2 linked regions of the Macaca mulatta genome follow. The protein of the gene in region 1 binds, or shares a complex with, the protein of each later gene. Links are inferred from orthologs where the notes say so. Each region holds a gene or a part of one and is shown on either strand. Other genes may lie near its edges.

Region 1 (4,979 bases):
CTGCCTTAGCCTCTCTAGTAGCTAGGATTACAGGTGTGCACTACCACGCCCTGCTAATTTTTGTATTTTTAGTGGTGATGGGGTTTCTCCATGTTGGCCAGGCTGGTCTTGAATTCCTGACCTCAAGTGATCCGCCCGCCTTGGCTTCCCAAAGTGCTGGTGGGATTACAGGTGTGAGCCACGGCACCTGTCACCAGCCCAGATTTCTATCTTTCTCTGTTACACCTCAGGGCTAACTCATGTGGGGATGGACAGAAGACACCCCGAGTTCCTCCCCTCTCCCCACTGTCCTCCCTTTATTGGCCCCGTCCCCGTGTCTCACATTTCTTTTTTTTTTTTTTTGAGACGGAGTCTCGCTCTCACCCAGGCTGGAGTGCAGTGGCCGGATCTGGGACTACAGGTGCCCGCCACCACACTTGGCTAATTTTTTATTATTTTTAGTAGAGACGGGGTTTCACCATGTTAGCCGGATGGTCTTGATCTCCTGACCTCGTGATCCGCCCGTCTTGGCCTCCCAGAGTGCTGGGATTACAGGCTTGAGCCACCGCCCCTGGCCTCACATTTCTTTTTCTTCTGCCTGCCCCATTCCTCTGCCAGGGTCTCCGTCTCTCCACCGGGGGCTTCATCCTTCCAGGGAGAAGAGGGACTCCAGAATGGCTGAGGAGAAGAAGCTGAAGCTTAGCAACACCGTGCTGCCCTCGGAGTCCATGAAGGTGGTGGCTGAATCCATGGGCATCGCCCAGATTCAGGAGGAGACCTGCCAGCTGCTGACGGATGAGGTCAGCTACCGCATCAAAGAGATTGCACAGGTGACCCAGCCCTTCTGTCCAGCTCCACGTTGGGTCCAGGATGTCGCCCGGGGCCCCGTCCTTAGGATTTTGGGCTGATGTCTATTCTGTCACCCACCCCAGGATGCCTTGAAGTTCATGCACATGGGGAAGCGGCAGAAGCTCACCACCAGTGACATTGACTATGCCTTGAAGCTAAAGAATGTCGAGGTGATTTGGGGAGACAGGCAGGGGGCGGGTGATGGGGACAGGGCGATGGGGTTGGGGTGAGGCGCCATCCTTCAGCCAGGTCTCCTCCGGCTCCTTTCTCACATGTGCCCCTCTCTCCTGCCACAGCCACTCTATGGCTTCCACGCCCAGGAGTTCATTCCTTTCCGCTTCGCCTCTGGTGGGGGCCGGGAGCTTTACTTCTACGAGGAGAAGGAGGTTGATCTGAGCGACATCATCAATACCCCTCTGCCCCGGGTGCCCCTGGACGTCTGCCTCAAAGGTTGGGGGAGGGGAGAGCAGGGTGGCAGGGAGGAGGGAAAAGAGGACAGATGCGTGTGGGTGTGAGTAGCCTCACAATAGAAGAAAAGCTCAGCGTGAGATCCCTGGTGAGTTGCAAGGGGAGCAGGAGTGGAAACATGCATGGAACAACTCCCCAGTGTCCATGCGCGGCAATTCACCTTGACACCTGCCTTCCTTGCAGCTCATTGGCTGAGCATCGAGGGCTGCCAGCCAGCTATCCCCGAGAACCCACCCCCAGGTAACCTCCATGCCCCACCCTCTGGATCTCTGGGTCCCTTTCCCCCTCCTTCCACCTTTTTTTTTTGATGGAGTCTCACTCTGTTGCCTGTGCTGGAGTGCAGGAGTGCTGGACTGCAGTGGCACAATCTCGGCTCACTGCAACCTCTGCCTCCTGGGTTCACGCGATTGTTGTGCTTCAGCCTCCTGAGTAGCTAGAGCTACAGGCACACACCACCACGCCCAGCTAATTTTTTGTAATTTTAGTAGAGATGAGGTTTCACCATGTTGGCCAGGCTGGTCTCGAACTTCTGACCTGAGGTGATCCACCCGCCCTGGCCTCCCAAAGTGCTGGGATTACAGGCGTGAGCCACCGCATCCAGCCTCCTCCCTTTACTTTTCCTGCTACTCTCGTCACGCCTCCCACTGTGCCTGCTTTCCCACCAGCTCCCAAAGAGCAACAGAAGGCCGAAGCCACAGAACCCCTGAAGTCAGCCAAGCCAGGCCAAGAGGAAGACGGACCCCTGAAGGGCAAAGGTCAAGGGGCCACCGCAGCTGACGGCAAAGGTCAGTCCTCCTAGGCCAGGCCTCTCTGGACTCTTGCCCAAAGCCACGTGGCCATTTGTTTTGTATCCTTTTTTTGTTTTTGAGACAGAGTTTCACTCTGTCACCCAGGCCAGAGTGTAGTGGCACAATCTCAGCTCACTGCAGCCTCAGCCTCCTGAGTAGCTGGGATTACAGGTGCCCACCACCACACCCAGCTAATTTTTGTAGTTTTTTTTAGTAGAGATAGGGTTTTGCTATGTAGGCCAGGTTGGTCTCAAACTCACCCTCATGTGATCCGCCTGCCTTGGCCTCCCAAAGTGCTGGGATTACAGGTGTGAGCCACCATGCCAAGCCTCCATGTGGCCATTGGTGAAGTGGCTGAGGTCAGGGCCAGAGAGCCCCAGAAAGGATGGGGAAGCCTAAGAAGAAGCTGGGTCTCCTGAGTCTCAGGGGAAGTGGAGGGTTAAGGTTCTTCTGTTACTGAGGTTTCTTCTGGAGCTTTCTTTGTCAGACCCACCTATCCAATCACACAGGGAAAGAGAAGAAGGCACCGCCCTTGCTGGAGGGGGCCCCCTTGCGACTGAAGCCCCGGAGCATCCATGAGTTGTCTGTGGAGCAACAGCTCTACTACAAGGAGATCACCGAGGCCTGTGTGGGCTCCTGCGAGGCCAAGAGGGCGGTGAGGGCCCCACCAGCCTGCCCTGGCCCTGAGACTCCTCCTCCTGGGGGTCCTATGAATTGCTCCCCACATCCTACCCCCACCTGACTGGCTTCCCTCCTCCCACAGGAAGCCCTGCAAAGCATTGCCACGGACCCCGGGCTGTATCAGATGCTGCCACGGTTCAGTACCTTCATCTCGGAGGGGGTGAGAGCATGAGGTTCCACTGTGCAGGGACGGCAGCGGAAGCTCCTGTGAGGGTCTCCCTGCCCCATGCCCAGCACTCCTCCCTCCCGCAGGTCCGTGTGAATGTGGTTCAGAACAACCTGGCCCTACTCATCTACCTGATGCGTATGGTGAAGGCGCTGATGGACAACCCCACGCTCTATCTAGAAAAATACGTGAGTGGTCCTGCCCACCTTCCCTTCCAGGGACCAGGGACCCTGCTGCCACCAACAGGAAGTCAGTGGTCAGCGGTGGCTCACACTTGAAATCCCAGCAACTTTGGGAGGCCGAGATGGGAGGATCGCTTGAGCTCAGCAGTTTGAGGACAACCTGAGGATAGTAGTAGGACTACTGTCTCTACAAAAAAAGATAACAAAAACAAAATTAGCCAGGCATGGTGGTGCATACCTGTGGTCCCAGCTACCTGGGAAGCTGAGATGGGAGGATTGCTTGAGCCTGGATGATTGAGGCTGCAGTGAGCCATGATTGTGCCCCTGCACACCAGCCTGGGTGACAGAGTGAGACTTTGTTTCAAACAAACAAAACCAGAATCAGCTGCCCCGCCCTTTCTCCCTTAGGTCCATGAGCTGATTCCGGCTGTGATGACCTGCATCGTGAGCAGACAGCTGTGCCTGCGACCAGATGTGGACAATCACTGGGCACTTCGAGACTTTGCTGCCCGCCTGGTGGCCCAGATCTGCAAGCATTTTAGCACAACCACTAACAACATCCAGTCCCGAATCACCAAGACCTTCACCAAGGTGAGCCAGGGAAACTTGAGCACCATTGGTTTCATCACTGGCCACCTCTGGTTGGGGGAAGTGACACTGGAAACAAGGGCAGAGGGAAGAGGGACTGGAACTTGTGGGGCTCTAAGGGCCTTGAGGCTTGTCTGTAATGCCTTTTTTTTTTTTTTTTTGAGATGGAGTCTCACTCTTGCCCAGGCTGGAGTGCAGTGGTGCGATCTCTGCTCACTGCACCCTCTGCCTCCTGGGTTCAAGCAATTCTCCTGCCTCAGCCTCCTGAGTACTTGGGATTACAGGTGCCTGCAGCCATAATTGGCTAATTTATTTATTTATTTATTTTTTGAGACGGAGTTTTGCTCTTGTTGTCCAGGCTGGAGTGCAATGATGCGATCTCGGCCCACTGCAACCTCCGCCTCCTGGGTTCCAACGATTCTCTTGCCTCAGCCTCCTGAGTAGCTGGGATTACAGGCATGTGCCACCACACCCAGCTAATTTTGTATTTTTAGTAGAGACGGGGTTTCTCCATGTTGGTCAGGCTGGTCTAGAACTCCCGACCTCAGGTGATCTGCCTGCCTCGGCCTCCCAAAGTGCCAGGATTACAGGTGTGAGCCACTGTGCCTGGCCACAACTGGCTAATTTTTGTGTTTTTAGTAGAGACAGGGTTTTACCATGTTAACTAGGCTGGTCTCGAACTCCTGACCTCAGGTGATCTGCCTGCCTCAGCTTCCCAAAGTGCTGGGATTACAGGCGTGAGCCACCGCGCCTGGCCTCACTGTCATGTCTTAATGATTTACAAGGAAAGTGTCTATGAAAGACGTGGGTCCCTATCAATCATCCTTTCAGACCCCTTCATCTTAGTTTATTTCCTTCCCCTTACAGAGCTGGGTGGACGAGAAGACGCCCTGGACGACTCGTTATGGCTCCATCGCAGGCTTGGCTGAGCTGGGACACGATGTTAGGCCTCTGGGAGGAAGAAATGGGGGAGGGGACGCAGTCATGAGGTTATAGAGGGCACTGTGCCCCCACCTGGGAGACCCTGGTGACCCTCCGGCTTTGGTTTCTTCCTTTCCCTTCCAACAGGTTATCAAGACTCTGATTCTGCCCCGGCTACAGCAGGAAGGGGAGCGGATCCGCAGTGTGCTGGACGGCCCTGTGTTGAGCAACATTGACCGGATTGGAGCAGACCATGTGCAGAGCCTTCTGCTGGTAACCGAAGCCCCTGTCCCTGCACCTGCGCCCCCGACCCCCCGAGAGACAGCCGGCGTTTAGCAAGCATATGGCGTATTTTAT
Region 2 (5,079 bases), on another chromosome or scaffold:
TATGCCAGACCCTAAAAAGAATGGAGAGCAGTGGCAAAGAAATAAGGCTAGGAATACAGCTTGGAGCCCAATGTTCATGAGGACTTGAATCTGAGAATTTGGATTGGGTGGCAGTGTAGAGGGTGGATTGGGAAGGTGGTAGGATGAGGATTAGGAAGATATAAAGACAGGGCAGGATGCTGCACCAATCTGGGCACCTTTCCTAATTTCTGCTGGCAGATACTGTGGCTCACACTGGCCTGTCACAGCTTTTTTTTTTTTTGAGATGGAGTCTCGCTCTGTAGCCCAGGCTGGAGTGCAGTGGCCGGATCTCAGCTCACTGCAAGCTCCGCCTCCCGGGTTTATGCCATTCTCCTGCCTCAGCCTCCCGAGTAGCTGGGATTACAGGCGCCCACCACCTCGCCCGGCTAGTTTTTTTTAATGTATTTTTAGTAGAGACGGGGTTTCACCGTGTTCGCCAGGATGGTCTCAATCTCCTGACCTTGTGATCCGCCCGTCTCGGCCTCCCAAAGTGCTGGGATTACAGGCTTGAGCCACCGCGCCCGGCCCACAGCTCTTTATACATTTTTTGGTGTGTTTGTGGGTTCTTCTCCATTTTACTGTGAACCTTACAGATGCTGGAACTGGGTCTGACTTGCATACCTAACATTCCAGCATACAGTAAAAAATAACAGTTCTCTCTTTTTTTTTTTGAGACAGAGTCTCGCTCTGTCACCCAGGCCGGAGTGCAGTGGCGCGATCTCGGCTCACTGCAACCTCCGCCCCTCCAGGTTTAAGCAGTTCTCTGCTTCAACCTCCGGAGTAGCGATTACAGACGCGTGCCACCACGCCCGGCTAATTGTTTTGTATTTTTAGTAGAGACGGGGTTTCACCATCTTGGCAAGGCTGGTCTTGAACTCCTGACCTCGTGATCCACCCGCCTCGGCCTCCCAAAGTGCTGGGATCACAGGCGTGAGCCACATAAAAGCAATTCTCACCAAGCATTTGACAGCAAAAAACTGTCCTGTAGAGAATGCTACAGGACAGGCTTTGGCTTAGTAGTGAGGTCTGAGTTCAAGCTGAGGCTCTGCACTTATTAGCTAGAATTTTGCTTAATCTCTCACAGGTCTCCTCTAACTGATTAAATGGCGTAACGGAGGTAAGCGGATTAGCACAATTCCTGGCAAACAGTCAGCAGTCAATTGTTATTACTGAATTGCCAGTTCACAGGCACAACCAACCGATCTGTCTCATCTCCCGGTTCCTGTGTTGCCAACTTCCTCGTTGAGGTTCAACAGGATACCTGTGGGGTAATGTGTCCCAGATGATATCCTGGTCCTGACACCATGACAAAGGCACCAACCAAAAATGGCGACCTCAAAGCCATCCGAGGGCGTCAATTACCCGTCATGCTACCGATGGATAAATAAGCAGAGTCGGGAAGAAAAGCTAGTGAAGGATTCTTAACGCCGGGGTGGAATACGCAGAGCTCGCTCATGCTGCCACTCAACTACAAGCAGTTAAAAGCGCAAGCTGCAGGCTACAGCTACACACAGCTCAAGATCGCCACCACGTGTCGGAGGGCAGTCTGCGCCTGCGCAAGCGAGGCGCGCGCCCGCCGGCCGGAAGAGCCGCGCGTTTCCGGGTTGGAGGCGGGGAGCGGTGCCGGAAGTAGTCGGGGAGGGCCGCGCAGTCGGACCGGCTGCTGAGACGAACGCTTCTCTGGGGCAGTCTCCGCATATCATGGGGAGATAGACGCTGCTGCCTGTGAGTCTTGGGCCCTGGCAGTTGAGGAACAAGAGCGGGAGGAGGGAGTCAGGACCCAGATCTACAGTAGGTCAGTGTTCGAAGGACCAGGTTGTGGACGAGACGGGGCTGTGAGGATTCAGGCTCTTGGGAAGGGACTGACAGAGGATCAGGCTCGGAGAAGACGCGGCTGTGGGGACCTGGGCTCCAAGACGGGACTTAGGGAACGGGGACGGATCTGAGTTCTCCGGCATCTGAGGGAAAGTGGTCTGAGAGGAGCAGGATTATGAGGACCCGCACTCCTACGAGGAGAGGGTCGGAAAGGAACGGGGTGTGAAGACACGGGCTCCGGAGAGGTAAAAGTGGAGCGGTGAGGACTTGGGCTTCTAAGAGGCAGAAGCGGGACAGTGAAGACCCGGCCTCCTAAGGATTCAGAAACGGGGCAGCGAAGACTCAGGTTCCTGAGGGGCAGAAGCAGACAGAGAAAACTTGAGTTTGGAAGGGAACAGAAGCGGGCAGTGAAGACTGGGGCTTCTTTGGGGACGGGATCCGGGCTTTGAGACTCCGAGTACCTGAGTCTCAGAACAGGGCGGTGAGGACCCAAGCTCCTAAAAGCCTTGGATCTAAGGGACCATGGATGTGAGATCAGCCTAGAAAGTAAAGGGAAAGGGTTTGGAAAAGATTTAGTGATCCATTTTTTTTTCCACAGTATTCCCTGAACCCAGAGAGATAAAGGACGTATTCAGGGGAAGACAACTTCTCCTTCGCACTGCCTGCTTGGCTCTTGGCAGGCTTTTCTTGTGTTAGATACTCAATCTAGGAAGCCCACATGCAAACATCTTCATTTTCTGCTTCATTCTTGGGAATCAGATGTGAAGTTGAAAACAGTTGGAACTCAGTTATATACTTGATAAGTGCTTTAAATCCCATTCCACTCAACCCTGAATGAGCACAGATCTCTGCATCTCAAGTAAAAGAATGTCAGTGATGGAAGAGTCCCAAAAGATCATCTTTTAAAAACTCCTATTTTACATTTAAGGAGGCTAAGGTTCAAAGAGGTTTAGGATTACAGTGAGGCAATGGTTAGATCATAATTTTAATACAGTACCCTTCTGTGCGTAGCAAATGAGATGCTTGGTTAATGTTCCTTAAATGCTTCCAGAATCTTTGCTTTATCTTCAAACTCAGGAGGGAATTTTTTTTTTTTTTTTTTTTTTTTTTTTTTTTTTTTTGAGACAGGTTCTCTCTCTGTTGCCCAGGCTGAAGTGCAGTGGCTCAATCTTGGCACCATGCACGTCAACCTCCTAGGCTCAAGCAATCTTCCCACCTATATATACCTCCTGAGTAGCTGGAACTACAGGCATGTGCCTCCACACCCTGCTAATTTTTAAATTTTTTGTAGAAACAGGATCTCACTATGTTGCCCAGGCTGGTCTCAAACTCCTAGGCTCAAGTGATCCTCCCACCTTGGTCTCCCAGAGTGCTGGGATTGCAGGCATGAGTCACTTCCCCCCGCTTCCAGTTTTCTTTTTTTGAGACAGAGTCACCCAGGCTGGCGTGCAGTGGCACGATCTCAGCTCACTGCAATCTCTGCTTCCCCGGTTCAAACGATTCTCCTGCCTCAGCCTCTCAAGTAGCTGGAATTACAGGTGTGTGCTACAATGCCCAGCTAATTTTTGTATTTTTAGTAGAGACAGGGTTTTACCATGTTGGCCAGGCTGGTTTCGAACTCCTGACCTAAAGTGATCTGCCCACCTCAGCCTCCCGAAGTGCTGGGATTATAGACATGAGCCACCACGCCTGGCCCAGTTTTTATTTCCAGTAAAAACTGGAAATTTTTACAGTTTCTGATACTTTGAGTGTTATTACTGCATTGACATTGATACAGTAAATGTCACTTAATAGTAAGGAAACCTTTATTTTTATTTTTATATTTTTGAGACAGGGTCTTGTTTTGTTGCCCATATTGGAGTGCAGTGGCATCATCATAGCTCACTGCAACCTATATTCTTGAGCTCAAGCACTCCTCCTGCCTCAGCCTCCTGGGTAGCTGGGACTACAGGTATGAGCCACTACACCCAGCTAATTTTTAAGTTTTTTTGTAGAGACGGTGTTTGGCTGTGTTGCCTAGGCTGGTGTTGAATTCTTGTCCTCAAGTGATTCTCCCACCTTGATATCCCAGAATGTTGGGATTATAGGCATGAGCCACTGCACCTGGCTGGAACCTTTAAATAAAGCTCAGTGTTATTTATTTATTTATTTAATAAGCTGTTTGGAAAGCCATAAATAAGTGTGTCCTGCATTTTTAGTGCAAACATTTACTAGGGATGGCTGCTTTTGGATAAGAATGGTGGGGAGACTTGCACCAGTCACTTACTTCAATATTAGTATCTTTTTCTGAAACCTACTCAGACTAACCAGGCACAGCTTAGGTACTTTCGAGTATTCTATGATTTAATTATCACAGCCCCACAAGTTAGATATTGTCAGTCTCGTTGTACAGATAATGAAATAGGTTTAGAGAGGTTAAATACTTTGCCTGAAATCACACAGTACTGAGTGACCCAACCCCAGTTACGCGTGCCTCTAAAACTTTTTTCTTCTCTTCTAAGTGGATTCCTCTGTCTCAGTTTGTCCATCAGCAAAATAGAAGTAATCGTTATACAAAACATATAATTGAATGAAAGCATTCCCTCCTTCTTAAGGCTCCTCTAAATGTCAAGGACTATAACTTATTAGGGTACTTACGTATTGTGGCATTTGAGGAGAGCTAAATTCTGTTTTCACAGAAGCATAGATTATTTAAGATAGAAAAATGGGAACTTTGTAGAGCTTTTAATTGCAATGTAGAAAGACATATTTAATTTTAGATTTAGGAGGCCAAGAAGGACTAATTTGGACTGGGCATAATGGCTCATACCTGTAATCCCAGCACTTTAGGAGGCCAAGGCGGGCAGGTCACCTGAGGTCAGGAGTTCGAGACCAGCCTGGCCAACATGGCAAAACCCCGTCTCTACTAAAAATACAAAGATTAGCTGGGCACGGTGGCGCATCCCTGTGATCCCAGCTACTCTGGAGGCTGGGGTGGGAGAGAATCACTTGAACCCTAGAGGTGGAGGTTCCAGTGAGCCGAGATTGTGTCACTATACTCCAGCCTGGACGACAGAATGAGACTCCGTCTAGAAAGAAAAAAAAAGTAATTTGAAAAACAAGGGCTTAAATTGGATTAATTTTCCAGTTAATTATATCATGAACTAGATGTTTGGGGGAATTGGGCTTAGTTAAAACTACTATTTTTTCCCCCAGAGTCTACTATTTGCAAGCGCCTATTATATATAAATGATCAAAACTTAC

Evidence for each region. Proteins that work in one complex are often made in the same cells at the same time.
Region 2: TAF6 (region 1) and TAF12 share a complex: the UniProt entries of both Homo sapiens proteins name them as parts of the TFIID basal transcription factor complex. The link is inferred for Macaca mulatta from reciprocal best matches to the Homo sapiens genes TAF6 and TAF12.

What each region holds. Positions count from the first base shown.
Region 1 is NC_133408.1:47,417,889-47,422,867, reverse strand, and holds part of TAF6 (transcription initiation factor TFIID subunit 6), read left to right. Parts: intron 1-260; exon of another isoform or gene 261-313; intron 314-541; exon of another isoform or gene 542-592; coding exon of another isoform or gene 593-597; coding exon 598-809; intron 810-911; coding exon 912-998; intron 999-1,124; coding exon 1,125-1,278; intron 1,279-1,479; coding exon 1,480-1,536; intron 1,537-1,961; coding exon 1,962-2,081; intron 2,082-2,593; coding exon 2,594-2,739; intron 2,740-2,847; coding exon 2,848-2,925; intron 2,926-3,017; coding exon 3,018-3,119; intron 3,120-3,521; coding exon 3,522-3,704; intron 3,705-4,568; coding exon 4,569-4,643; intron 4,644-4,769; coding exon 4,770-4,895; coding exon of another isoform or gene 4,896-4,952; intron 4,953-4,979. UniProt on the Homo sapiens protein: The TFIID basal transcription factor complex plays a major role in the initiation of RNA polymerase II (Pol II)-dependent transcription.
Region 2 is NC_133406.1:212,257,571-212,262,649, forward strand, and holds the start of TAF12 (transcription initiation factor TFIID subunit 12), read left to right. Parts: upstream 1-1,652; 5' UTR 1,653-3,467; intron 3,468-5,079. UniProt on the Homo sapiens protein: The TFIID basal transcription factor complex plays a major role in the initiation of RNA polymerase II (Pol II)-dependent transcription.